5 linked regions of the Macaca fascicularis genome follow. The protein of the gene in region 4 purifies or fractionates together with the protein of the main gene of each other region. This does not show direct contact. Links are inferred from orthologs where the notes say so. Each region holds a gene or a part of one and is shown on either strand. Other genes may lie near its edges. The genes, in order: LGALS3, STK39, CLGN, SLC12A6 and RAB6B.

Region 1 (5,965 bases), about 110 Mb from region 4:
TAGTGAAACCCCATCTCTACTAAAAATACAAAGAATTAGCCAGCTGTGGTGGCAGGCACCTGTAATCCCAGCTACTAGGGAGGCTGAGGCAGGAGAATTGCTTGAACCCGGGAGGCAGAGGTTGCAGTGAGCCAAGATGGCACCACTGCACTCCAGCCTGGAAGACAGTGCAAGGCTCCATCTCAAGAAAAAGAGGAAAAAAAAAAAAAAAAGCATTATAACTGATGCTCTTTTGAAATCAAGATTATTAACCTCAAAACTTCCAGGAAAACAAAAAAAGACATCTATTCAGATAAATATCATCCTTACTTGCCTGAAAATTTTTTTCGTTTTTCTTTTCAGATGAGTAGTTTACAGAGAGAGACATACAATCAAATGTCAGAAATCCTCCCACTCTACAGACACTATAGATATGTGAACCCCATCCTGGTGTTTCCAGGATCAGATAATTTTGAAGAGTCAGAGGGAAAAAAAAAAAAAAAAACACTTCAAAAAATAAACTAGAAGTAGAGAAATACTAGCTGGGTCTCCACATTTGTAAACACCTACAGTAAGCAGTTCAGTGTAGCTTTGGAATAAGGAATTTAAACATGAGTTAGAATACAGACCATTTTAATCAGTTAACTGGTAGCTTTTCCCTTTAACAAAGCGTAGCTGCGCTATGCTATTCTAGGCCCACCCAGCAATCAGTCTGGTTGTCTGGGTTCCCAGGAACACTTCTGAAATTTCTGCTCATAAAGGTCCCTGACCTGTACGCAAGCTGTAACGGAAGAAGACTGTTTCCTGAGCCCCTAGGCACTGCCCCACACTGCTCCTCAAGTAGCACAAGAGGCAGTCTACTTTCTGTCCTTGCTGAAACACAGAGCAGGACTTGAGGAAAGCCCATTTTCCAAAGACAAATTCAGTGATGCTAAGTTGGAATAAAGAGAACTGGTCCTTTCCTAGGATTTCTTTCTCATCATAGCTCCCTGGCATCAAGGAAGGTAGAGTTACTTTCTGCTTCTCAGTGACTGATTTTTTCCCGCTATGGAAAAGCTGAACAGGGGTCAAAAGAGAACACATGACACTTAGTCAATAGCGAACTGGAAGTATACAGCAAGCACTGCCTAGCCTGGCTCTCAAGTTACCCACTCAGAATTTAATGAGAAGATCAGTTCAGGCACCAGACACAAGGAGCTACCCTTGAGTGGGAGCCTGTGTCCCAAACGACAGGAAAGAAGAGCTATGTTTGAGATCAGTTACCGCAAGTATCAAGTACGTAAGTTTACAAGTCACTTGGCATTTAAGGTCAACACGAGATTCTGAAGGCATACTACATGAACATAGGTCTCGGCTGCAGTTAAGGTTTATAGTCTGGCTAATGAAAGTTCTATGTAAAAAGGTACCTAAATTATACATGAGACCAGCATTAGCCTCTTGACCTCACTAAGTGAAAAGTCTTTATAAAGCACCTATGCATATTTGTAGCACAGCGAACTATCATAGATTAAAGACCTCTTAACAGAGCAAGACACCTATTCTACTTGGACACAACTAGTTTTCAGGGTCAATCCATCAGGCGGTACTCGTCCTCTTGTGCTTCTTACGTAACTTTTGAGGCATCCTCCTAGCACTTCTAAGTGCTAAATATTCAAGGACCATCATCAAACTTCTCCCCAGAATCTGGACTAAGTGCTGATTTTAAATGTCACCTCTAAATATGAATTTAGGAAGCTGCTTAAATCCCCCAAAGATCAAGGATGGGGTATGATCATCCCTAGAATGAGAGACCCTACCCTAAGGATTTAGAGTCAATGTCTAAAAGGGAGACCATTGTTGGAGAAAAGTAAATAATCATTATTCAACTTTACCTTTCGTGGAAACACACAATTTCCTAGCATGAAATGTTTATAAACTTGAGGTAGGCCAGGCGCAGTGGCTCAGGCCTGTAATCCCAGCACTTTAGGAGGCCGAGGCGGGTGGGTCACCTGAGGTCAGGAGTTCGAGACCAGCCTGATCAACATGGAGAGACACCCCCATCACCACCACCACCATCACTAAAAATACAAAATTAGCCGGGCATGGTGGCGCATGCCTGTAATCCCAGCTACTCGGGAGGCTGAGGCAGGAGAATTGCTTGAATCCAGTAGGCGGAGGTTGCAGTGAGCCGAGATCGTGCCATTGCCTGGGCAACAAGAGTGAAACTGCGTCTCAAAAAAACAAACAAAAAACACAAAAAACAAAAACCTTGAAGTAAACAAATCAGAACTTTGGAAGCTGACGACAGCTTTTTCTTCTCAAGCTCTGTGCCCAAGTGGTTCATTGTATCAGCCTCATTTTCTTCAGAATTAACTGAGCCTTCTCCCATTCCTTTCCCACAATCCTAGAAACAGCCTGGGTCACTGAGGTCCAGGTGTCCTCATTGTGCAGCAACCCAACTCCCAGAGTCACTTTACAAACATTCCGCAGTCTCTGGAATCGGCATGGCTAACTTGAAGGGTAAGACTGAGGCCTAAGTCCCAGCCTCCACCATGCGTCCCCGATTCCCTGGCCCTTAGTGCCTACTTCTCAGAGGGCAATCGTTTTAGTGTTTCTATTTGAGCACCCAATAATTCAGAATAAACTCTCAAACATGTTTTGGGAGTCCCCCGCTAGGGCTCTGCACACTAGGACCAACATTCTGCCACACCCAACACTTCCTCGGCACAGACAGTCTGGGCAGGGAAGGGCATTTGATTCGGAAAAGCTTAAGAGTTTGCAGTCTTCGCTAAGCCGGGTCATGCCCACTCAGGCCATGGGGCAAGCACCATTTCTGTGGGATTAGCAACCAGAGAGCGGCTGCAGCCCGGCCGCAGCTGGTCCTCGTGGAAGAACTCATTCGCGCCCCACAGAGAGATCTCCTCCGAGTCCAGCCTCAGCTGATGCTCAAAAGGGGCCGGGCGAGCCAAGCTGTGGGTTCCGGGAGGCGCCCTATGCAGTCCTCAGAAGTCCCTTCGCTCCCCCGCGGCCGAGCTCTGGGGAAGGGTTACCCGGCCCCAACCCCAGTTAGAGAAACTGGAGCGGCCGTCTGGTTTGCTGAGCGAGTCCCTCCGCCTCCCCTCGCAGCGGGACCTGGCAGGACTGGGGTGACCAGACCGCGGCTCTTCACCGGATGGGGCTTACTCCGGGGCCGCAGAGCGCAGCCGGCGGAGGTGCGACGGCGGTGAAGCCCCCGAGGCTCCGCAGAAGGTGGCCCGTGCCGCCGCGGGGACGTGTGTGGGTCTCGGAAGGCGCTGCCAACCTTTCCCGAGCGCCAGCGCCCTCAAGAATCAAAGGCGACCGCCCCGGGCCCGCCGCCCCGCACCCGGAGGGCAGAGCACAGGCTGTGGGGCTCTCCGCGCGCGTCCCGGCCTGGTCCCGGGGAGCCGAACCCCTCCGAGCCGCGCCCTAAGCAGCGCCCGGGCGCACTCACCCCTGCCCGGCCGGAGCCGCGTCCCCAGCGCCCCGCGCCGCTCACCGCTCGTTGGCTGGTTCCGGACGGCTGCTAACGAGGAGGTGCGGGCGCCGGCGGGGCGGTGGCTCCGAGCCTCAAATACTCCCAGCGCCGCCCGGCCCGCCTCTCCCGAGGCGGGGCGGCTCCCCTGCCCAGCCCAGCCTCTCCCCGGACCATGCTGGGCGAGCCCCGCGTCCGCCTGACACCCCGCGCCGCCGCCGCAGGGGCGACCAGGAAGCTCCCGACGGGCAGAGCGCGGGCTGAGGGGCGCGCCCTCTGCCACCACCGTTCGGTTCCGTGGCGCTCCGGGGGCCTGGGCTGCGGCCGCGTCTCTCCCCCGCCCTCTCCAGAATCACCTGAGTGAAGAATTCACTGAGGGGAATTCAATTAATAGGTTGCTTTATTTGTAGAATACAAAACCAAAAACCTTTTCAATGTCTATTGCCTAGGGAACTGACTACAAATTGACTACTTATTCTAGATCAATAGGCCTAGTCTCAAAGCAATTCCCTTATGAAGCAATTAGACAACTCTTTAACACATTTTGCACAGGAAATTCACATTATATATATATATCCTCCTTTTAACTTCACCTTATGTTTTCGTTGGAAGAAAGAGATAAGTATTATTATCTCATTTTTACTCTCAGGGTGCTATAGTCTGAATGTTTATATCCCGCCAAAGTTCATATGTTGAAATCCTAACCCTCATGGTGATGTGTTAGGAGGTGGAGGCCTTGCGAAGTGATTGGGTCATACGGGCAGGGTCCTTATGAATGAGATCGGTGCCCTAATAAAAGAGGCCGGAGAGAGACCCCTTGCCACTTCCACCATGTGAAGACACAGCCGGAAGGCGCCCTCTGTGAACCAGAAAGCAGGCCCTCACCAGACACCAAATCTGCTGGCCTGGGGATTTCCCGACCTTCAGAACTGTGGGAAATAAATGTATATTATCTATAAGCTACCCAGTTTATGATATTTTGTTACAGAAGCCCAAACAGACTAAAAGAGAAAATGATTTACTTATCCAAGCTCACTCATGTCTAGGAACAAAATCCAGAAATCCTGACTCTTAAACTTTATCTGGAAAAGCACCAGGTCAAAGAATCCTTGCAGGCCAAAACAAGGATCTCTGAGGAAAAAAAAAAAATTAAGGGGGGTAAGGGAAGAATCTTTGCAGGAACCGGCTTATGTAACCTATGGAGAAAACCAGTTATCATCTGGTTCCTAAATAATTCCTGTAGCCCTTATAGTAACCAATTAATAACATAAAGATAAATTATTTCCTGCAGTTTTTCAGCTTAGGGATATGTTCCTGTAAGGGACTCACTTGATGGAATTGAGAAGCTGTCTTGGCATTCTCTAGGATAAATTTGAAAGTGTCTTAGTGGCTGGCACTGTTCCTGCAACATTGTCCCCTCTAGGCTTGCACATAGAAGTCACAGTGTGGCTGGGGATTATTTAATGAAAATGTGAACTCTTACCTGAAGACGTGGCCTGGCAACCAATTTATTTGAATAGATCACCATAGTAAATGACTAACCTCTGGGTAATAAAAAGGTGTCACCCACAGGAATGCCCTTGGTCTCCAAGGAAAATGCTATAAATCTTAAGACTTTGAGTCATGAGGCCTCATGGCCAGGCGTGGTACCCTTAGAGGGTTAGCCATTGGTAATAAAAAAAAAAAAAAAGTAGATAGCCAAATGAATTGCTGTGGAGGCAAAGGAAGAAACACACTCTTGCCTTTTCTTCTGGTCATTTCGGAGATAGACGAAGTTCATGCCCTGGCTACTTAGGGGGCTTGCTTACACCTGATTGTATGATCAGACATCCTTTTGGCTTCACTTCCTTACTTGTGCATCCCCATGAATACTTTGGTGCCAACTTCATGCCCCATAAAGCTAACAAAAGGATCCTGATATGATCAAGGTGTGCCTGGGAATTTATAATTTGTACACATGCAATAAACAGCTCTTTATTACCCAATCCAAAGTCATATACCTCTTCTAAGATAAGCGAAAAAGAAACCTAATAAAATCAATTAAAATATCATTGAGTAACTTCTATGTACAGATCACTGTGTTATTTGAAATAAGGCACAAGGCAGTGTTAGCCCTCAAACAAATAGGCTGGCTGGTTTCTACTGATGCAGAGATTGTAGGCCCCTGATAAAAGCAAGGGTTCTAAGAGAGGCATCTCCACAGGAGGGAAAGGAGGAACCTTGGGAAAGCAGGTGGCGGTCCAGAAGGTCAGGAGGGAAACTGGGTAAGAACTTCAGTTAGAGCCAGAAGAGTAGGAGATGAAGATGAGAACAAAAAGGGAAAGTCTTTAAGGATGAGCAGAAAAGAGAAAGAAAGACAGTAATTGGAGGAGAGCCTATATATATATATATATATTTTTTTTTTTTTTTTTTTTTTTTGAGACGGAGTTTCGCTCTTGTTGCTCAGGCTGGAGTGCAATGGCGCAATCTCAACTCACCTCTACCTCCGCCTCCTGGGTTCAAACGATTCTCCTG
Region 2 (5,489 bases), on a different chromosome or scaffold from region 4:
CCCCCATACATCTGGAAAATGGCCATTCCAATTTCTGTTATTACACAAGCATGAAGTTGCATACTCAAAAAGATACCAAGGATGCCCCGGATGACTGGAACACAAAGTCCTCAGCACATGCCAGGCACAGAAAAGGCATAGCCCTCTCTACACTTCAATTCACTTAATTCCCACAACCACCCCACGCAGGGGCTTCCTGCCTGAGCCCTTCTGAACTCAGCAGCCCCCCGCAGTGCAGGCATGTATTGGGTCACAACAGACACCTCGGCAGTGAGGAAAAACCCAAAGGCCTGTGACAGAGGGAAAAAGTCAGGAGATCTTACCTCGGGGATTCCTACTGGGAAAAAGAAAAGGACAGTGTGTTCCAGAAGGCTCAGGAAGAGGCTCAGATCATTAATCTGACAAGAATAATGGGAAGAGATGACTGGCAGAAGACCAAGTAACAGAATAAGGCAGAGGTTGACCAGCCTTCACATTTCAAAGGCAGTTCACTATCTTGACCCTTTTTGTGAGAAATCATCATTTCATCATAAAACAGAAAATTAGTTGCACTTCCTTATCAGCTTAGAGCAAGATTAATGGCAAGTTAGCTTCCAAATTCCATAATTAATAAGTATCACCTTTTGATAAGTCATAAACTCTCCTCAGAGCTGAAGCTCTGGCAGGACAATTCCAGGTTCACATGATCTCCAGTCAGTGCAAGGGAGTATCAGTGTGATCCTCTTAGTCATAGTAACAGAAGTAACAGTAGTAACAGTAGCAACAGTAGTAGCAACAGCAGCCATGGTAAAACAGTAGTTATTGATATTTGCTGCATGCCTATTATGTGTCGGCCACTGTTGAGATCACTGGACCTTGATTTCACCAAAGAAGATGAAGTAGTTTATATTTTTACCCCTCTTTACGGAAACTGAGTCTTAAGAAGGTTTGGTAACTTGCCCAAGGTGGCAGAGCTACTAAGTGGTGGCCTCAGAATTGTGACCAAGTCAGCTGACACAGAGCCTGCACTCTGAACAACTAGTTAGTTTGGAGAGTTTGAAATTTTGGGGACTGGATAGTTTGAAATTTTTGCCCACAGATGTTTTTCAGCTGTTACTTGTTTAACTGAAGTACTTATTCAAACTGTCCCTAGCCTGTGGGATAAAGTCCACTCATCAGGACAAGATATGCACACACAAAGCACTAACTCAGATGGCTCAAGAACAAAATCCAGCATCCACGATGAGGAGAGGCACCAGAGTCAGGGGGTTGTCGGGGGTGGAGCAGCAGATGAATCAAGAATTGCCAAAGATTGATAATTATTGAAACCAGGTGATGGGTACAAGTGGGCTCATCTTCCTCTTCTCTGCAATGACAGGGTCAGTCCAGTATAGGGAAGGACTGTCTGGCCAAAAAATGCCAAGAACACCCCCTAAAGAAACCATGAAAGCTAAAAGGATTGCTGAGACAGACTTTCAACAACATGGGTAAAGCAAGAGTTAATATGGACGTGGCTACATCTTATCTCAGGCCTTTAAGGCTACTCTAGGGCCAATAACAAAATAGAGGCTTTGAACACGGAAGGTGCTCACCTGATATTGCGTGTTCATGCAACATTCATTCATTGCATCCCCAGTCTACCAGCTTTGTCAGGAATAGCCATGTTGGGTCAGAGTTAAGAACAAAACATGGCCCAGATTTTTAATGTTCACAATTCTTTCAGATACCTCTTAAGAAATAAATTAGTTTTTAATTGATGTGTATGATGCTTTAAATTTTCAAACCTATCGAAAAACGTTTTTACAAGTGCATTTCTTGAAGTTATCTGAGTATTACCATTATAAAATGTGAAAGGCAGAAAACATAGTAAAATTGAAAGTAAAATTGTTCTTTATCAAAAAGCTATGTACTAAAATGGTATTTTTCACAGGATGATCTAATGACTTATCAAAACAATAAAGAAAACATGTTATCCTTCAGACCCAAACATTCTGTAAGTATCATTCTTAAAAGAGATTACATGCATTTATTCATTTCTCAGGAATGATTCGACATGCCTTGAAACTGTAACACTTCTGTAATCAAGTAAAAAAAATTTCTATTTATCAGTTTTACCTGCTATTTGTACTGAACCATCCTCACCCAGAAGAATATTACCAGCTTTCAAATCCCTATTAGAAAAAAAAAATAGAAAATAAATTGTAGGGTACAGACTTTATAGTGTATTGATTCACTCAGGAAGATTTTAAAACATATCATACAATGTAGCTCTTTAACATAATAATTTCATAAACATTAAGATTATATCACAGATTTTAAAGGTTAAAAGGATAGGCTGGGCATGGTGGTTCACACCTGTAATCCCAGCACTTTGGGAGGCCAAGGCGGGTGGAGCACCTAAGATCAGGAGTTTGAGACCAGCCTGGCCAACATGGTGGAACCCCATCTCTACTAAAAATACAAAAATTAGTTGGGCGCAGTGGCAAGTGGCTGTAATCCCAGCTACTTGGGAGACTCAGGCAGGAGAATCACTTGAACCCGGGCCAAGACCACGCCACTGCACTCCAGCCTAGGCAACAAGAGTGAAACTCAGTCTCCAAAAAAAAAAAAAAAGGTGTAAGGATTCAACTGTCATTTTATAGTTTACTCCTGGGGGAGAGTTAGCATTTTAGAAAGAAATATTTTCTATGAAATAATTATCCAAATTTAATTAAATCTTCAGTAAGTAGACTCTCTATTTTATGCTTCAGAGTTAGAGACTGCCCAAAAACTCACACTACTGTCATTCTATCAAGTATTAAAGCCCAGTCTATGTAAAGCTCCTCCACTTCCACTTCAATTTGGGGTGCAATTCCAAGTTAATTCTCTTTCTGAAAAATGAACTTCTCTCCTCTGGTGAGAGACTGATTATAAATACTAATTATTATATAGTATATTTCTTCACCATATAAAACCTGTGTAATCTTAGTACTTTGAAAAACGACAATTTGCAATTTATAAGTTTGATTTCTAAAGTAATTTTTTTTCTAATTATTGAAAAATATAGGCCAGCTACAGTGGCTCACGCCTGTAATCCCAGCACTTTGGGAGGCCGAGGCGGGCAGATCACCTGAGGTCAAGAGTGGGAGTCCAGCCTGGCCAACATAGTGAAACCCCATCTCTACTAAAAATATGAAAATTAGCCAGGCATGGTGGCAAGTGCCTGTAATCCCAGTCACTCAGGAGGCTGAGTCAGGAGAATCACTTGAACTCGGGAGGCAGAGGTTGCAATGAGCTGAGATCATGCCACTGCACTCCAGCCTGGGCAACAGAGCAAGACTCTGTCTCAAAAAAAAAAAAAAAAAGAAAAAAGAAAAATATAGTAGAAATAATTAAATATAAATTTCAGGGTAGGAGAATTACATTATTAGTATTATGGGTAGATGGCTATTTACTTGCAATAATTCCTAAGAGCCCAAGTAGCACTAACTCACTTGAAACATCAAGTACTCCTATTCTATGTGATTTGACTATATAAAGAATTAACATTTTATGTCACAAAAGATGTGTGCCTCCTCCTTCCCTCTCACCACCACATCAAAAATAATTCACATATTACAATGTTTGGATAGTCTTGCTTGTATTAGAAAGATAGAGGTGCTATCTAGTTCAATTAGTATAATTCAACAGTAGTTACCAAGACTGATTTTTTAAAATGAGTCCATGTGTCCTTTTTATATTCCACTCTTATTTCAGTGAAAGCCACTGAAGCAATCCTCAAGGATACCAATATAATTCATCAAAATGTATTCACTTGTTTCTTTCTTAAGTATTTTTTTCCCATCTATTTAGCCTAAGTTAATGTCAATACCTGCCTGCAACATGTGTTTCCTTAACATTCTTTATAAACTAGGGCTGAAGATATGAACAGCTCATTTAAACATTTCTGCAGGGGTCATACCTGTGAATCTGACCATTTCTGTGTAGATAGTCTAAGCCTTCCAAAACTTCTTTAAGAATTGTTGCTATTATTGCCTCTTCCAGAACTCCGTTCTTGTGTTCTCCTCGGTTGACAATGTATTTTATGATATCCAACATTGAACCTAAGTAGACAAACAGAAGAATTATCACCTTCATCACCTTTTCAGAACAAGACTCCATTATGTATAAAATGTGATGGAAACATCAAAATATGGGCTTTGTTTATTTAATGCAAATATTCACAAGGCAAACAAACAATTGAATGACAGCCCCATGACCAAAAACACTAAATCCAAGTTTGCAAGAGCACTTTCAGTGTGAATTTAATGAGAAGGATTCTGGGTCAGGAACCAGAAGGCTGTTCATGGCCATTCCATGGTTGGTTCCTTTTCCCTAGAAATACTGGTTACAGCATTTCTCACAAAAATTCCTAAGAGCAACCCTCCAAAGAGGGTGCAAAAAGTCTGAACTGACAAAGAAAGGAGTATGAGGCCAGGAGAAAAGGCAGAAGCGAACTGCTGAGAGAAAAAACCCCACTCTCTGAGGACCTAAATCATAGTTGGGAGGGGGAAAGAAGGATGTTGTTTCTAGACCTCTGTTTATAACCAGAAGATTCCTTCCTGTGACACTGCATGATCTTTATTTTCTCTCCTTCTTTTTCTTTTTTCATTTGAGAAAGAGTCTGCCTCTGTCATGTAAGCTGGAGAGCAGTGGAGCAATCACAGCTCACTGCAGCCTCAACTTCCCAGGCTCAAGCGATCCTCCCACCTCAGCCTCCCAAGCAGCTGGGACTACAAGTACATGCCACCACGTCTGGCTAATTTTTCTATTTTTTGCAGAGATGGGGTTTCACCATGTTGCCCATGATGGTCTTGAACTTCTGGGCTTGAGAGATCTGCCCACCTCAGCCTCCCAAAGTGCTGGGCTTATAGGCATAAGCCACTGCACCCGGCTGATCTTTATTTCATTTACCTTATATATTTGAGGCACTAACACTTACAGTAAACAAACAAATACCTAGTACTTTGTTACCATATACAGATTAGTATCCTTGGCACTGTGAATTCATGTTTCAACACATATTAATTAGTATTCCAAACCCCTGGGTCAGTTTAAAAGCCAAAATTACCTGGGGGTTTGACATTTCTGAAGAATTAACAAATGGCTTACCTCAGGACCTGAATTTGGCTCTAGGCTCTTTATAATTAACTAAGAGGACTGAGCTTCCCCATCAGATATAGCTGCCTGCCCCTCATTAAGAGATTCAATGTAATGAAATAGAAGAAAACAAATGCATATTTTTCCCCAGAGGGGGGGAAAAACACTCTGTTTATTTGTTGACTCTTAGACTTTTGTGTCATTTAAAAAATGGTAATTGTAAATACATTTTCTTTTTATTGTATAAGGATATACCATACCAGGCATGCACGCATTTCTGCCCTGCTGAAAGAAAAATGAGTAAGAGTCCACGTCTGCCCACATCCCTACCTGTAGAAACCTGTTTAAAACCTGTTCTTACCTAAAGCTCAGAGAGGTTAAATTGGACTCTT
Region 3 (5,489 bases), on a different chromosome or scaffold from region 4:
GCCAGAGCAATCTGGCAAGAGAAAGAAATAAAGGACATATAAATTGGAAATGAGGAAGTCAAGCTATCACTGTTTGCTAATGATATGATCGCATACCTAGAAAACCCTGAAGACTCATCCAATAGACTACTAGACTTGATAAATGAATTCAATAAAAGTCTCAGGTTACAAAATCAATGTACACAAATCAGTAGTACTGCTACATAGCAACAACGACCAAACTGAAAATCAAATCAAGAACTCAATAACTTTTACAATAGCTGCAAAAAAAAAAAATAAATAAATAAAATCCCTAGGAATATTCCTAACAGAAGTGAAAGATCTATATAAGGAGAACTACAAAATACTGCTGAAAAAAAATCATAGATGACACAAATGGAAACACATCCCATGCTCATGGACTGGAAGAATCAATATCTTGAAAATGATCATTCTGCAGAAAGTCATCTATAGATTCAATGCAATTCCTATCAAAATACCAACAACATTTTTCACAGAATTAGGAAAAAAATCCAAAAGTTCATATGGAACCAAAAAAGAGCCTGAAGAGCCAAAGTAATCCTAAGCAAAAAGAACAAATCTGGAGGTATCACATTACCTGACTTCAAATTATACAAGGACATATTATCAAAATAGCATGGTAATGGTCTCAAGTAGACACACAGACCACTGGAAGAGAATAGAGAACCAGAAATAAAGCAAAATACTTACAACTAACTGATCTTTGACCAAGCACACAAAAACATAAATTAGGGAAAGGACACCCTATTTAATAAATGGTACTGAGAAAACTGGCAAGCCACATGTGGAAGAATGAAACTGGACCCTTACCTGTCACCTTATACAAAAATCAACTCAAGATGGATTAAAGACTTAAACCTAAGATCTGAAACCATAAAAATTCTAGAACACCAGAAAAACTCTTCTAGACATTGACTTAGGCAAAAAATTCAGGACAAAGAACCTAAAAGCAAATGCAACAAAAATGAAAATAAATAAATGGGACCTAATTAAACTAAAAAACTTCTGCACAGCAAAAGAAATAATCATCAGAGTAAGCAGACAACCCACAGAGTGGGAGAAAATATTAATAACCTGTGAATCTGACAAAGGACTAGTATCCAGAATCAAGAGACTCAAACAAATCAGTAAGAAAAAAATTAATCCCATCAAAAAGTAGGCAAATGACATAAATAGACATTTCTCAAAAGAAGATACAGAAATGGCCAATGAACATGCTTAGAAAATGCTCAACATAACTAATCATCAAGGAAATGCATATTAAAACCACAATGAGATACTACATTACCCCTGTAAGAATGGCCATTATTAAAAAGTCAAAAAACAATTGGCATGGATGTGGTGAAAAGGGAACATTTATATACTGCTGGTGCAATGTAAATTAATATAGCCTCTATGGAAAACAGCATGGAGATTTATTAAAAAACTGAAAGCAGATCTACTATTTGTCCAGCAATCCCACTACTGCTTCTACTGCTTTTTCTGTGCATATGAGGTGGTGTCCTTTTTGGACTAGATAAGCATATAGACATATATACACATACACACACATATATGTGTGTGTGTGTGTATGCATGCACAGGGGATTTGCTGGGATGGCGAACACGATGCAAAGGAAGACATGTAGGTATGACCTTTATCTTACACTAAACAGAAACTATGAAAAGGAATCAGACAGCTGACATCCAACATACTATCTGTTTTGCTGTTGTGATGTAACTGCTTATTGGGGTCTGAGCGCAAGGTCACATGTTTATGAGTATGAGGTCCTCTGAGAAAGAAGACATTACCACTATCAGTCACTGTGAGAAGAGGCCGATCGTGATTCAGCATATAACAATCAAGGAGGCTGGTTTTTAGATCACAAAGAAGAAAATAGTTGGTTATACTCTAAGGTAGTCCTGTTACGGAAGACAATATGACCCCTGCCTATAGGACATTTCTTTCTAGAGCTAAGACTGAAGATAATCCTATTAGACACCCTATGATAATGGATATAGGCCTGGAGATGAGGATTCCAGAAGTAGCCACATATCTTGTAGCTCTCATTAGTTATCCTCTGCTTTTTACTTGCTAGGAGAATCTTACCATAAATTATAATTTGATCTAGGTGTGTCTAGGCTTGAGATGAAACCATAGAGACAACAGTAGCCTGGGAAATACTGCTTCAGGAAATGCAAAAGACTAACCAGCAGTAGAATGAAAATTCAACTGTTCAGTTAGAAAACTAGATTAACTGGATTAGGAGTGAGATTTTCAGAAATAGCAAAGGGGTTTTCAGAAATATTGAAAAGGGACAAGATAAAAGACTGAACATTTTATTGCGAGGCAGCATGGGGGACTCCAGCCAACACCATTTAACAAAAATATAATCTCAAAAGTTAGTGAACTCCAGGCCATAGCGGTTATATCTAATACTTAAATATTTTACCATCGTATATCGAAATCTCCTCATCCATGTCATCTTTCTTTGCTTTTGATAAGACCCATCTGTAAACAAAGTTGAACATACATATATGTCATTAACAATAAAATCAGCAACTTATAGATATAATGCATACAGAAACACAACAAAAGATCACCCAATACAGTCACTTTTCATTCAACAATAAATTCATACTTAGATGCTAAATAAGGATGCCTTCACCACATAATCCTGGAGGACTAGAGTTAAACCGAATTTGGAATCTATAATTTCCTAACTGTATGATCACAGGTAAGGTACAAGGAGCCTCGGTTTCTTCACTTGTAAAATGGGGATTAAATATGGTAATTATCTATTTCTTTTTAGGACATCTGACACATAATAATTTTAATATTAATTTTTGTTTTTTCCATTATTGTAATAGAACAGTACTCATATTTGTCATCTGAACTTAAAGAGTGTTAATATCTGTCCTACAGAATGAATACATATGATAAATTTCATCTTTACATTCAGAATTAGTATATTTTCTTTGAATAAATAACTATTCAAATTAAACATTCTATCAATTACAAAAATATACTAAGTACTGATTTACATTGTCAATTAAACTACTTTAATTTTTTTTTTAGATCTGTAATAGAGGTAATTTTCACAGGTCAAAACCTAATAACTTCAAAAAAGCTAATAAATCAAAACATTCTCTTGAATGAATACTCACCCAGCCAACCTTCCACTATCAAAAGTTTCTGCAAAATATACTTCTCCTATAGGTTGAGGTGTCTTATATTTAATCTAGAAAAGAGATTTTCCAAGTCTAAAGTTATTCATTTTCACAAATATTTCAATTAAATAATCTTCCTAGTGAAGAACATAGTATGCAATGCACATACAGGTAATACAGATATGAGGTGACAAACCCATACCTGTACAAAACTTTGTATCCTAGTAATGATAAGGTACAAGAAAATATAAGAAATACCATGATGACAAAAATACTATACATACAAACAGTGGATACACTGACCCCTTCTAACACAGAAGGAACAAAGGGACTCTGACAAGTGACAATATTTGTGGATAAAACTCTTTGGGAGCAAAGGAAATAGCATAATGAAAAGCATATAAGATGTAGAGCTTAGTAAGCACATAGGCTTTTAAAATTAACTCTTAAGTTTTACTGTTAGGTACCCTAAAATATAATAATATAATTTTACAAGATTAGGAACCCAGAGAATGAAAAGATTCTATGGAGATAGCATTGCAAAACAATGATCAACAAAGCATTGTTTCAAGTGCCTTTGAAGTGTTAGCTGTTAGGGTGGCAATAATGATGACGGTGGCAGTGGTATTGCTGGTGATATAGTGGCTCCTTTAATTCTTATAATATTCCTATGGGGGAAGTACCATTTGTGCCCTCTTTATATATGATGAAATTGGGACAGACAAAGTAACTTGCTTACTGCTGTCCAGTTAGATAATTGTAGGACTTATATATAAAGCCAAAACTGTCTGATTCCAAAGCTCATGCATTTTTACTACATGATACAGAATTTACCAACAAAATAATTTAAAAGAGTAAAGACTGATAAACTATCAAAAGATAATTTAAACTGAGGACCAATAAATAAAAATTTGCCCACAGTAATAGGTTAGTCTGGATCCTCTCAGAATCAGCCTGTTGTGATTGTATCTGTATGACTAGTGAGATTTCTTCCATTAGGCTTTAGGGAAAAGGGTGCAGAAATACTTTTTCTATTTTCACTGTCCCTATCCCACCCTGATAGTAAAACACTTCCTGTCTATTTAAGGGGGTAAAATCGGTAATTACACAAAATTCCACAAATTACTGACAGGGTCAAGATTCAGCTACCTAAACTGCCAATCTTCTATGAAGTTTACTGAATTACAACTTTACTGTTCTCTGTATTTTTATAGATTGACAAAATGGGCAACAGTGTCACAAGAGACTTCCTTCTGATAGGCCACCCCTAAAATCAGTTTATTTTGCCCTTTATTTATACTTCACCCTATGTAGATTACTCATGCTATAAAATTAGCAGCATCAAAAATAATTCTTTCCCACTTCTTATCATATTCTCAAAGTATCACCAAATAAGTCAAGAGTGGTAGTTACCTGTCAATTTCTTTGAAGTATTAATATTAACCTTCAAAGATCCTGTGGTAACTGTATCTAAGTCAGTAATTATTAGTACTTGGAGTACTTACTTTCTGCAGATTATAGAACTAGGCTTTAAAAAATTGTCCTTACAGAGCTTAAATTTAACAGGGGAAACATACTATTCACCTTAGACAGTGAAATAACACATTTGCAAATGAAAAATTCTTAATAAGAGGAAATGAAGTAAAGAAGTCTGTAACAACTACATATTATTCCCTTTGGCCCTTCAAACAGTAGCTGGCACAATACAATTAATGCTTTCTCACCATCAAAAATATTTCTGATTATCACAAGGTTAGATATGAATATTTCCCAATGTAAAAGCTCTTATGTATCATCAAGGTATACAAAAATTCCTGCAATTTCTCAGACTCCTGTTGATCACTACTCTAAAATACATGTTTTAACAATGCTGAGACAGAAACATGAGTCAGGTTTACCAAATGCTCACCCCTCACCATCACTTCCTTTTCTAATTCATCCTCCTTCTTGGCATTTTCTTTCCTCAGAGAAATAAAGACAAATACTTTACTTCTTGAAGAATTGCAAATTATATGGCCTTTTATTTGAAAAGATCTAGCAGTGTCAGAAATATGAATAAAAACCTTACTACTAGCTCAGTTCTCTGTAATCAGTGACAAACTCCTCTTTTTTTTTTTTTTTTTTTTTGAGACGGAGTCTCACTCTGTCGCCCAGGCTGGAGTGCAGTGGCCGGATCTCAGCTCACTGCAAGCTCCGCCTCCCGGGTTCACGCCATTCTCCTGCCTCAGCCTCCCGAGTAGCTGGGACTACAGGCGCCCGCCGCCTCGCCCGGCTAGTTTTTTGTATTTTTTAGTAGAGACGGGGTTTCACCGTGTTAGC
Region 4 (5,489 bases):
GGTTGAAAGTGGGATCATAGGAAAGCCTAGAATAACTTCCAACTCTTCTGATTCTAAACCCCAACACTATACAATCAGAGAAAGAATTTGTCTGGCGAACCAGGACACAAGGGAGAAAGACTTGCAAAGAAAAGTTGTCTCAAATACCTTGTGCTGTTTCAGCAGGAATGGTAGTAGCATGAGCATCCCCCCATCATGCACAATCCACCACACATCAATGTTGCCCTCAGAAAATTGCTCCACATTGCTGGGAAAGAAGGAGATGTTTTTAGCCACCAGCAGTGCGAGATGGGCAGCAGTTGTCACTCGAACTGTGCCTAGGGAGAAAAAAGAATAAGCAGAGAAGAATCCTTAGGCTTGCCTTGCTTCCTAGCATGTCAGGAAAGCAAGGAAATGCTCTCTTCACACTTCTTTGAGCAAGGGGTCCTATTTACTTAGATTCTATCTCATTACATAAGAAAAATCATTGTGAAAAATCTGAATAGCTAACAGAATTAGACTGAGAACCACAGTTTATGTTACAGGGTATATTCTGATTACTACATTTCTAAGGGGGGATATGTGAATTTGGGAGATGATGATGCTGAAGAACAATTCTTCCAATTTCTGTGAGAACATCAATATGGAAAATCACAAATGAAAACATGGCAATTTTGGAGATAATTCCTAGCACAAGACTTGACAGAAATAAATAATTCATGAACATGATGTGAAGCTGAAGGGGACAGGTAGAATCTGGTATTACTACCAGACTACTAGTAGTTTTTCAGGTTGCCTTATAAGACTATGCTTCAGCAATGGCATAATCTCTTTTAGGAGGCTGGGGGTGACAGAGATTTAACTATATCCCCTCGACTCAGGCCCTTAGGTTTGTATGAGAAATGGTTAGTACCAATAAAAGTCTTCCAAGCGCGGGCATCTTCACTTTGACGCCAGCCATTAGGCCAGCCCATCACCACTGTGTTGTGCTTCATGCCCCCAAGGCCACATGACTGGATAAGGTGGGAAATGCCCTCTCTCAGCTTGGCGGCCACCACCAGCTGGCAGAATCCTTTTACCTTCTCTGCCTCCATTAGGTGCTTTATGGTCTGAAAGAGACACAGGACCGCAACACTGAAGTGGTTCACTCTGGACCTTTTAACCCATTATTCCTTCTCCGTATTATATCCCCTACCTTTTTCCAAAGTCTTCATAAATCTGTATCGTCTACAGAAAAGTCCAAAAAGTTAAAATTATCCCAAAGGAATTTCATGATCTTTTATCTTTTTCACTTTCTAAGTGCTTACTACATATTTTTGCCTCTGTAGCTGGTTGTCTACATGTAGTTTCTCTGCTTTTTCCTCTGTTCTGCTTTTGTTCCTTTGCACCATACCAAAAAACTGGGAACAGGGATCTCTACAAAGTGAATATTCAACATTCTTTCCCAGTTGACCAGGGTGATTCACTAGTGTGAACAAGATCTCCTTCCTGCCTCAGCCCCAGTCATGCCCTGACTCATCTTACCAGAAACTCAATATGATGATTCAGTTTCACTTTAGAATTTTCTCAGGTATGTTTTCTTTTTTGCTTCTCCCATTCCCATATGCTTTTTGACATTTTAATGGTGATTATTCATGACACTTGTATTTGCATTACTCTTCCTTTAGTCAAACCAATTTGGAGATATCATCGCATTTACTCTTACTCCACCCTCTCGGTGGGAAAAGGAAGGGAATAACGGTATGGAAAATGGAATGACTTTTGCAAAGGCACAGATTAAATCAGTGATGTGGCTGACAACTAGGATCTCATGATTTTCAATCCTGGGTACCTTTTATTAATTTTTACCATCATTCTGGAGTAATGTTTCTTCAGCATTTCTAGTGTTTAGGATTTCAAAGTATTCCAAAATGAAATCCAGTAAGACTTTTGAAATGCCATTGAACACACTGAACACAATGGCATTTCAAAAACAACAGGATTAATTCTATCATATATAATAAATATTAGAGTGAAAACAACTTCCTTGTTAAAGTAGAACTTTAATGTTCAGTACAGCTAACCAGAAGTGGCAAAGGAATCTTGCTCATGATGCCACATAGACTGAAGAGGAAGAAAATTTGGTCATTACTCGTTGCCACAAGATTGAGAGGAACCCTCTCCATAGTTCAAGGGATCAATTTACTTACATGACTTTTCTCAGTGCTTAATGTTTAGAGTATATTTGAAAATAATGTTTAGATTTAATCATCTTATAATTTAGTAATGCTTTAAATGGGAAGAAAGAATAAATAACTATTTTCTGGCTCATCTTATTATTTGGGAGAAAGTGTCTGTTCAAAGGTCAGCACTAAGTGAGAAACCTCCTAGATCACTCAGGAACAAGATTCAAGTAGAAGTTTGAGGTCTTACTACTTAACATCACAAAGCTGTAAGCTGAGTTCCAATACATCAAAGTCTGACTCTTACCTGCTCAGCAGCTAAAGCTTCACCGTAGTTCTCTAGAAAGTTCCCCACGATGACAGAGCCCACAATAGTGAGACCTTTTCCTGCTTTGAGCTGTGAGGCAAAGGTGAGGAGGCGAGGATGCTTGACATGTAAGTCTTCATCTAGTTTCAGTAATACAAGCAACTGAGGCCTGTGAAGAGGTTGGTGGGGGTTGGAGAGGAGGAGAAAACATTTTGGGTTTGGGGAACAGAATGACAGACTCCACCCTGTAATTCAGGAGATCTGTATGAAACAGGTAATTTGACAGAAGGAAGAAATCACAGGAAATGACAGGATGAGGGTATTAGTTTGAACGCTCCCAGTACTATCTCGAGTTGATCAGTCTTCAAGGAAGAATAATAAATTGTGAAGAATAATAAATTGTAGAAATCTTGCTCATAAGTGACATGAAGAAAAGGGAATAAAAAAATTAAGGATTTAGAATAGTTCAAAAGAGGTCCATTATACCATTTCCTTGAGCCACATGGTTTCCTTATCCTGTAATCAACAAAGCACATATTTTTGTGTGTTAACTATGTGCCAAATACCGCTAGTGTTGATTTCTTTACCTCCAGTTTTTAGTGTGTGGAGGTCCCTCCTCCAACCGAAGCAAAGCAAACCGGGCTGCACTGAGGGACAGCCCACGGATACCATCACCCCATTCTTTCTCCGCTCTGTGAGAAAAAGAAAAGAGCAGAGACAAATTTAAACTATAGTAAGTATACTTTTAAAAACTAAAGTTTTTTCTGAATCTAAAAATCACACATGTGCAAGGTAGAAGATTAAAGCTCAGATTAATGATTTACATAATGTTCTTTACTAATATAATGAACCCGATGTAGGCAGATCAACAGCACCAACAGACTGCACTGCACAAACAGTTCAGAATAAAGCCTGAAGGGGTCACTCATTCAGTCCTTCTACCTAATTGTTCAAAACAATAATGTAAAAGAGCAATTTAGATTAGAAAATTATAACAGACCTGGAGTTTAAGTTACTTTGAAAATAATGCAGAGAAAGTAAAGTTCAATGTGATCTTCTGAATAAGAATGAATGAGTCCTCATTTTTGAAAGTTGTAAGTCTTAGTAGTTACAAAGTTGTTCAGAACTAATTTCTTTTTCATTTCAGAGACAATCCCTTGACTGAAGAGATAAGCAAAAATATTTATATTTGTGTTATACTTTGTTTAGTACTAATCATTATTATTTGGATATGTCCTTTGTTATTTTCCATTGATCCATTCATACTTTCTCAATGGATTTCCCTTGTGATGAAAAGCTTGCATCAGTAAGACGGTTAGAGAATTAGGGGTACAAAATATAGTTATGAAAATGAAGTTACCTGGGTCCTTAATGTATTTTCACTGAGCTGGCTCTAACCAAACTAGCTAGTCTTGCTACTTTTAGCAGTGATCAAGATTAAATCCACACTCACCCTTGGTACTCAATGTACTTGTAGATCATACCAGCTATTACCATGGCTACAATGGCATAATACCAGGAAGAAATGAACATCAGAGCCAGACAGATACTCATTCCCATGAAAGAAAGGGCCCTAGAAAATTAAAAACAAATACAAAAAAGTATCTTTTAAAGTAGCTGAAAAAGAAGCTTTTGTTAGAGGTGCTTCTCAAACTATCTGTAGTGAGGGATTATTTTTTAAAAACTTTGAAACTATTATAAATATAACTTTTATAAAATGCAATGAAAATGAATTATTCAAAAAATCATCACATGCCTGGATGCTGTAGCAATGTCACACTGCCACAAAAGTTTCTAAATGCTTATTCTCAGTTCTACAGTTGTCTTATCATGAAACAGTCAGTAGATGTGCACTAAATCCCAAACTGTCCTTTGCAACAGACCAGCTGCTGTTATGTTTCCAACTGCTGGAAAACTAAGTAAATAACAACACTATCAGTCACCTGCAGTTATGAGGACAATTAATACTTACTTGGCAAAGCCAGGATGGGACACACAGCCAGAAATGTTAATAACTCTAGGATCTTTTGAAAATTTTCATATAAATATTTCTAAAAAGTTTATAAACATTTATTAGCACAACTGCAGAACTCACTGAGAAAAATTATTTTTGGGCTAGGCGTGGTGGCTCACGGCTGTAATCCCAGCACTTTGGGAGGCCGAGACGGGTGGATCACGAGGTCAGGAGATCAAGACCATCCTGGCTAACACGGTGAAACTCTGTCTCTACTAAAAATACAAAAACTTAGCCGGGAATGGTGGTGGGCGCCTGTAGTCCCAGCTACTCAAGAGGCTGAGGCAAGAGAATGGCGTGAGCCCAGGAGGCGGAGCTTGAAGTGAGCCGAGATCGCACCACTGTACTCCAGCCTGGGCATCAGAGCGAAACTCTGTCTCAAAAAAAAAAAAAAAGAAAAAGAAAAATTATTTTTGGACTGTACATAAGAGAAACCTGGCAGACGGTAATGAATTAATTGCTTGTTTTGACCACACAAATTAGGTAGACAACCATATTTACTTAAGTTTTTCTGTGTACAGAATGAACTTCTTAGCTCTGTGATAAATTTTTAAGAATGAATAGGAGTGTTAATTTGGAGAAAACTAGGATGTAATGAAAATATAGGGTAAAGAGAAAGAGAAAAATAGAGGCAAGATAGCAACAAACAAAGTTATACAGAACCTTTCTTTTTTTTTTTTTTGAGACGGAGTTTCCCTCTTGTTGCCCAGGCTGCAGTGCAATGGTGCAATCTCGGCTCACTGCAACCCCTGCCTCCCGAGTCCAAATGATTCTCCTACCTCAGCCTCTCGAGTAACTGGGATTACAGGCATACGCCACCACGCCCGGCTACCTTTGTATTTTTAATAGAGATGGGGTTTCTCCAGGTTGGTCAGGCTGGTCTCAACCTCCTGACCTCAGGTGATCCGCCCGCCTTGGCCTCCCAAAGTGCTGGGATTACAGGCATGAGGCAGTGCGCCCGGCCTCATGAAGAACTTTTAACTAACATTAAAGCTAGAAAGAGGATCAGAGGCATTAAAACTTAGTT
Region 5 (6,247 bases), on a different chromosome or scaffold from region 4:
CCCAGCCTATATTCCACGGGCCAGGGGGACAGCTGCCAGGAGGGGGCTCTTTCACTGGCTTGAGGTATTTCCTCCAGAGCGGCTTCTCAAGGGCCTCCCATTTAAACCAGTTCCCTGATATCTTTAAAGACCTGATGTCCAGCCGGGATTATCTGACCCAGGGTGTGCTCCACCCCCTGGTCCATGCACGCCGCTCTTCTTGGAAATCCACTGCCGTTGCCCACCAGCCTAGAGAAAAGTCACCATTATGCTAGGCACAGGAAATAAGATAAAGCCACATCCCTCTAGCTCCTTCCCCTGGCCCATCTCCAGGGGACTCGGCTCATATCGGCAAGCCCATGTTGCTCTGAAAGATTCTGCTGAGCTCAGCGGGCCCAAGTCCCCCATGTACAGAAGGTAAAGGAACTCTGAGGTCATATAAAAAGAGCCAGGGCCAGCATGAGGGCCAGCCCTCAGGAGGCTCTCTCCACTGCACAGGCTGCAGAGAATGCTGGCACAAATGACCAACAGATGCAAAACTGTGCAGGCAAGGTAGAAGAAGCGGCTGTGGAGGTGACTCCCCATCCCATAAGGCTTAGAGACGCACATGTCCCCTACCTAACTCAAAAGCTCTGTAAAACCTAAAACAACCCACTAACGATGCAACAAAGTGGAAACAGGAAACAGGCTTTTTGGGGCCTTGGAACTCCCTGACAGAAGGCACCAGGTGAGATGCCAGTAGCCATCTCACCGACAGCAGTGATTCTCTAATGACCATGTTCCAAGGGCCCACAACCCTGCTCCTGACCAACTACTCAGCATTCCTATCAGTCACAGGCCCCAGCTATAAGCCTGGCCGTACAGAAGCAACCCAACTCCCTCTTGGGGAGGCTCCCCAGTTGTTGGCTTCCCCAATTCAAGGTCATCTTACTTCACAATGACACGCTAGTGAAAAATATTGGACTGGAAACGAGAGGTGAGGCTCCAGCCCAGAAGTATTAGCAACTCACAATGGGACTCTGGGACTCTGGGCAAGGCCTCCCTGTTCCCTGGGGCTCAGACTTCCCATTTGAACATGTGGGAGAGGTGGTGGGTTCATTTCTTAGACTTCAGCTATCATTTCTGTGCTTCTGGGAGCAAAGGGGGTCTGTGGAGCCCAGCAGGGGTCTCTGTTCATCAGGAATTCTGAGGGAGCCCAGATGTTCCCTGAAATTCACCAGAGACACTTTATTCACCAAACTCCTAGTCCTTTCTAAAGCTTTTGCAGACTTAGAATAATCAAATGTTTGTTGAGAACCTACCAGGGTCCAGGCACTTTGAGAGGCACTAAGGAAACATGAAGAAGTAAAAGAATTGTCTTCAAGCAACCATTTTTCAGAGACAGAAAGTGAGTCACAGAGAGGCCTCAAATTTTACTAAAGGCAACACAGCTAAGAATTCAACTCCCAGGCTGCCTGATCCCCACAGGTTATCTCCCAGGGCTCCAGGCCCGGTGAGACTAGCACTGGGATGTGAACACCACCAAAATCCCTTCCAGACACAGGGAATGGTCAGCTCCATGAAACTGGGATCTACTAAAACAGGCAATCAGAATCCAAGGCAAATGCTGGCTGGCTGAGAGGATCTTCTGAAACACCCAACCTGGCCCCCAAACCCATCTCCATATTGGGCCTGGACACTACCTTCTAACGTCCTTCTCTGAATCATCCATCTCAGGCAATGAGCATCAGCAGACAGGGGCCAGTCACATGACCTCCATAACCCTCATGTACACACAGCACGGTAGCACTGTTCATGGCCCACCCAATCCTCCCACAGTTGCCTTTCTTTTGGACCCCCTTGTCAGAGAGGGTCTGCAGAGCCAGAGCTGGGGTCCTGCCCGACAAGGACAGCCTTCTGGGGTCCTGCTCGGCAAGGACAGCCTTCTCCCAGAGCAGAGCTGACCAGAGCTCAGTTTGTCTCCCTGCAGCCCCATTCGAGAGGCCTCTGGAAGGATGCTCCGAAAGCCACTCCTTCCTACAGGTGGCAGAGGGGTCCCTGCTCTTCAATCTGGGCTTCCCGCCTCGGGACCAAGCTGGTTTTCAGAGATGTTTTCCTGGGGAGGGAGCCAGGCAGCAGAGAAGCAGTCTCCCCCTCCCCCAGCTCTGGCCGGCTGCCACGGTGACCTCCCCTCCCCCAAGAAGGGCGGTGAGCTGGGAGGTGGGGGTGGGAAGAATCCACCGATGCTCTCAGGAGGAGTGCTGGGAAGCAAGGCAGGGCGTGTCGCCTGGGCCTTTCTCTGCCCAGAGCCAGACTTCACAGCCTCTCGGTGTGAGCTGCCCCTGTATCATTCCCCAGATCGCCTCGAGTTGGGGTAGCCTTCACTGTCATTGCCAAGACCCCTGAACAGCAAGGAGGCTACCGAGCGCTGGCGAAGGGCACCGGGTCTAGAACCTTCTGTGCCCAGTCGGACGTGAGATAGGGGAGGTAGGCGCCCCGTTCCCTCATGGCCTGCACTCGCTCTTTGGAACAGAGACAGGTGCCGGTCTTTTCTCCCCGGTGGCTATTTGTCCCAGCGCCTGGACGTGCCCTTTCGCATGGTTACCGGCAGAGTCCGCAGGGAACCCCCCTCCAGTGCAGCGGAGTGGGGGTCGGCCAGACCCCAGTTTCGCTTCGTTCTCCAAGGGGGGCGCCCGTCGCTCTCCCCACCCCCGGCAGCACCCAGCCACCTGCGCGGTCGCCCGCAGCCGGTGCCGCAGTGTGAGCTAGCCAGCGAGCCCGGGTCCTTCACGCCCTGGTCCGCGCGGCGGAGCCAGCCGCCGCCCTCCGAGCTCCCTGCGGCGCCGCACCTGCACCCGCACCCCGGGCCCCCCACCCAGAGCCCACCCTCACCTCCACCCCGGGCGCCAGCACCTCCTCCGTCCTCACCCTTGGCCCCTCCCCAGTCCGACCCCGCCCGAGCCGGCCCCGACCTCCCCATCCCTGTCCCTCTCCTCTATCCTGACACGGAGAGGCCTTTCCGAGCCGCGGCCGGTGGTCCCAATGGGGTGGGCGCTTGGGCGACGGGGGTCGACTCGGCGACAAGCCAAGAGATTAAGCCGGGTACTTACCGCTCTGCTCCCCTAGGAACACCAACTTGAATTTTCTCAGTGGATTCCCAAAATCTCCCCCTGCGGACATGGTGGTGGCAGCCGGGGCCGGGAGAGGAGGAGGAAAAAGCGAAGGAGCAGGGAGGGGAGAGGAGGAGGGCGAGGGGAGGCGGCCGGCGGTGCGGGAGCCGGAGGGGGAAGGGCTGGCTGTGCGCGTCCCTGACTCCCCAGCTGCGTCCCGGCCCCGGCCTGCGGCTGCGTGTCCGGCGGCGGCGGCGGCGGCGGAGGAGGAGGAGAGGGAGGAGTAGGCGGAGGAAGGCTGGGGCTGGGCTGCTGCGGGCGGCACTGGCTGCGGTGCGAGGGGCGCGCTCTTTACGCCCGAGGCGCGGCGTGGGGAGAGAGGCGCGGGCGGAGCGGGGCGCAGGGACGGCGCGCAGGGACGGCGCGCGGGGCGGAGGAGCGCTCTCTAGAGCCGCGCCAGTCGGCCCCCTCCCGCCTCCCTCCTCTGCCGGCGCCTGCGCTCTGCGCTCTCCCCAGCCTCTGATGTCATGCGGGGCCCGCGGCGCTGCGGGGCTGGGGGGCGTGCGCCCGCCCACCCGAGTCCGCACCCGGGCAGGAGAGAACCTCCTCGCTGTACCCCTGAGAGGCCCCCGGGTCGGACCGTCTCTCACTGCCCCGCTGCGTCTTTCTCACTCTACCCCTCTTTCGATCCAGAAAATGACACGAAATTGTCAGGGGACTTTTGTTTCTGGTCTTTTAAACCTAGATGCCAGTCCCTTTCTCCACCTCGCGAGACACCGATGCACAGCGCAGTCGTCCGACAGGGCGGAAAGGAACGAAGGTGGGGGAGAGCCAGGGTGTGGCGAGGCGCTTCAGGGCGGGCAGACCTAGGGAAACCTGGCGTACTTGGCGCAGATGGAGCTCGACTCTTGCCCCGTGTGGCTTCTAGCCCGCCCTCCCCTCTTGAGGCCTAGACCGTTTATTTGGGCGGCCTCTTGTGGGGTCTGTGGGTGCCCCCGCAGACCTGGCCAGCGAGAGAAGAGCTGCCAATATAGGGCGCGCCTACCTCAAACCAGCTGTTCATTTGGATCATTTTATGCTAAATCATAACCTGCCCCATGGGAGAGAAGGAACGGTGACACTCTGAATGCCAGTGCCACTATCTCCAGGACAGTGCAGTGCCCTGCGTTTCTTGATCCTGGGGTCGCCAGGCTGACAACGCCACTCCCCACCCTGGCAATTACGTGTATCTGGACAATGAGCTCTCTGAGGACACGTGGGTGACCTCTCCTTGGCCTCTACTCGCCTGGTCCATCAAGGCACGCAGACCAAGCTGTGAGTGGGTAAGAGCAAAGAGCAGAAGCCAAGCGCTAGAAACACTCCCAGGACAGCCCGAGCCTAAGGCATGCTGGTTAATTGAGGTTTGACAAAGCTGCCCCTTACTCTTCTGCCACAGCGCGGTCTTGTTCGTTTATGGCTGTTCAGTGAGCATTTATTTGAGATAATAGTCTGCATGTTGGTGAACACGATGGTGTGTGCACGCATGTGTTATACAAAGAGAAAGAGGAGTGAGACACAACCTTCATCTCCAGATTTCTCGGACACTTGTTACCCACTTTTTGACTGATGGGGCTTGCTTGGGCAAGCCTGTCTGTCTCCCTGGTGTGCTCACCTCGAATCTCTCTTCTATTTCTTGTTAAAAACTTGCCCGCAAGTTCCATAAAAGCAGTCGTCCTGAGGACATAGCTCAGAGTTTAAGAAATAGTTGTTGAATGTTCCAATGAACATCTAGAACTCAAATCAAAATAACTCCTATTCTCATAATCACCTTTAGTTTGGAACGTCAAGGGTTGTAAGTCATCACCTAGAATATCTGCCCCATTGTGGCTGGCACCAGGCTCAGGGTAACCCTCCAGACGCCCACCCACTTCTTTGGGGCTCCTGCTCTCTTAGGAGACCATATCCAGCTTAGGGCTGAAGAAAGCTCTAGAAGGAGAGGAGACTCCCAAGTCACAGCCTGTTCTGTCTCTGTAAGTGATCCCTCCAAAGAAGGGCCAGGGAGCTACTGGCCAAGGTACCCAGCCATGCAACACTCCTCCAACCTGCACCTTCTCCTAACATCTGGTGCTGTCTCCCTGTACCTTCTCATCCTGACCTGAGGAGATCATCGGTGGCAAGACAAAGCAGCTGAGGTGTGCCAGAAAAGGCAGCATCTTTTGGGTAAGCCTTGGCAAGTCCTGTACCTCCTCTGATCATCTGGTCCTGCATATATAAGGTGGTATGGCAGTAGGGGAGGGAAGTTTGGGGCAGGGCCCCTCTGGGCACCTCTAAGCCTCCAAGTCATCCCATATGCTTACCAGGTCCAGCTGGGCTAATTATGGTCCAGCTTACCTTGGGGGACTCTGTCATAATCTGCCAGTTCAAATGACAAAAACCCGGCTCCGACTACTGGGCTGGCTTATGTAGCTGGAGCAGATACTGGCATTGTCTCAGAATGCAGTCATCATGCTGTGGAAATGAGAGCCGTAGAGACTCCAAGTTTGCTCTGCTCCAAGTCTCTCTCCTCCAACTATCATTGATTGTCTCTCTTGATTTTGGGTCTTGTCCTTAACCTGCCCTAGAGCAGACAGGCTTTCTCCAGGTGGAAGATGTTGCCACTAAACCTCAGCTTGGCAACCTCACTAGAAAGAGTTTCTTCCAAATAGCATCTGTGTGTTCCATTTTTAAAAAATCTTTAAATCTTCCTATTTAGTATGTGCTGTGTATATGTAAGTTACAAAGAAAACCCATCACTATGAGTGCCCATTTACCCTCTACACAACTGGAGGCTCAAATATTACAGTACTTTTCAGGTCCCCAGGTGTTTTCTTCTCCTTCCTCTTCCCCAACTTGGAAATCCAGAATCTTGGCTTTTCTTTGAGTTTTATCACATTTGGATGTGCCCTTCACAATACTTTGTTTTGTTTTGCATCTTTTGAATCTTATGTAAGGTATCAAACTGTGTATTCTGTCCTGACTTGCATGTTTATTAACATCATGTTTCTGAGATCCATTTGTTAATTCATGTAGCAGCAGTTCTTTCATTTTCACTGCTGGTTAGTATTCTACTTATGCCCCAATTTTTAAATGATTTTCAGTAAAATGTGTCATTTAAAATTTTTATTTTATTTTCTTAGTGTTGTTATTATTTTTGAGATGGA

Evidence for each region.
Region 1: the proteins of SLC12A6 (region 4) and LGALS3 purify together in Homo sapiens (affinity purification with mass spectrometry; 3 studies listed by BioGRID and IntAct, counting the BioPlex papers as one, with this or other methods). This does not show direct contact. The link is inferred for Macaca fascicularis from reciprocal best matches to the Homo sapiens genes SLC12A6 and LGALS3.
Region 2: the proteins of SLC12A6 (region 4) and STK39 purify together in Homo sapiens (affinity purification with mass spectrometry; 3 studies listed by BioGRID and IntAct, with this or other methods). This does not show direct contact. The link is inferred for Macaca fascicularis from reciprocal best matches to the Homo sapiens genes SLC12A6 and STK39.
Region 3: the proteins of SLC12A6 (region 4) and CLGN purify together in Homo sapiens (affinity purification with mass spectrometry; 3 studies listed by BioGRID and IntAct, with this or other methods). This does not show direct contact. The link is inferred for Macaca fascicularis from reciprocal best matches to the Homo sapiens genes SLC12A6 and CLGN.
Region 5: the proteins of SLC12A6 (region 4) and RAB6B purify together in Homo sapiens (affinity purification with mass spectrometry; 4 studies listed by BioGRID and IntAct, with this or other methods). This does not show direct contact. The link is inferred for Macaca fascicularis from reciprocal best matches to the Homo sapiens genes SLC12A6 and RAB6B.

Annotation. Positions count from the first base shown.
Region 1 is NC_088381.1:122,987,965-122,993,929, reverse strand, and holds the start of LGALS3 (galectin-3), read right to left. Parts: upstream 3,522-5,965; 5' UTR 1,851-3,521; intron 1-1,850. UniProt on the Homo sapiens protein: Galactose-specific lectin which binds IgE. May mediate with the alpha-3, beta-1 integrin the stimulation by CSPG4 of endothelial cells migration.
Region 2 is NC_088386.1:63,713,428-63,718,916, forward strand, and holds part of STK39 (STE20/SPS1-related proline-alanine-rich protein kinase), read right to left. Parts: intron 4,062-5,489; coding exon 3,920-4,061; intron 2,151-3,919; coding exon 2,095-2,150; intron 1-2,094. UniProt on the Homo sapiens protein: Effector serine/threonine-protein kinase component of the WNK-SPAK/OSR1 kinase cascade, which is involved in various processes, such as ion transport, response to hypertonic stress and blood pressure.
Region 3 is NC_088379.1:145,556,395-145,561,883, forward strand, and holds part of CLGN (calmegin), read right to left. Parts: intron 3,242-5,489; coding exon 3,168-3,241; intron 2,512-3,167; coding exon 2,453-2,511; intron 1-2,452. UniProt on the Homo sapiens protein: Functions during spermatogenesis as a chaperone for a range of client proteins that are important for sperm adhesion onto the egg zona pellucida and for subsequent penetration of the zona pellucida.
Region 4 is NC_088381.1:10,527,154-10,532,642, forward strand, and holds part of SLC12A6 (solute carrier family 12 member 6), read right to left. Parts: intron 4,022-5,489; coding exon 3,902-4,021; intron 3,610-3,901; exon of another isoform or gene 3,449-3,609; intron 3,141-3,448; coding exon 3,036-3,140; exon of another isoform or gene 2,986-3,035; intron 2,618-2,985; coding exon 2,449-2,617; intron 1,207-2,448; coding exon of another isoform or gene 1,171-1,206; exon of another isoform or gene 1,156-1,170; intron 1,089-1,155; coding exon 893-1,088; intron 318-892; coding exon 148-317; intron 1-147.
Region 5 is NC_088376.1:36,799,924-36,806,170, forward strand, and holds the start of RAB6B (ras-related protein Rab-6B), read right to left. Parts: upstream 3,489-6,247; 5' UTR 3,139-3,488; coding exon 3,069-3,138; intron 1-3,068. UniProt on the Homo sapiens protein: The small GTPases Rab are key regulators of intracellular membrane trafficking, from the formation of transport vesicles to their fusion with membranes. Rabs cycle between active GTP-bound and inactive GDP-bound states.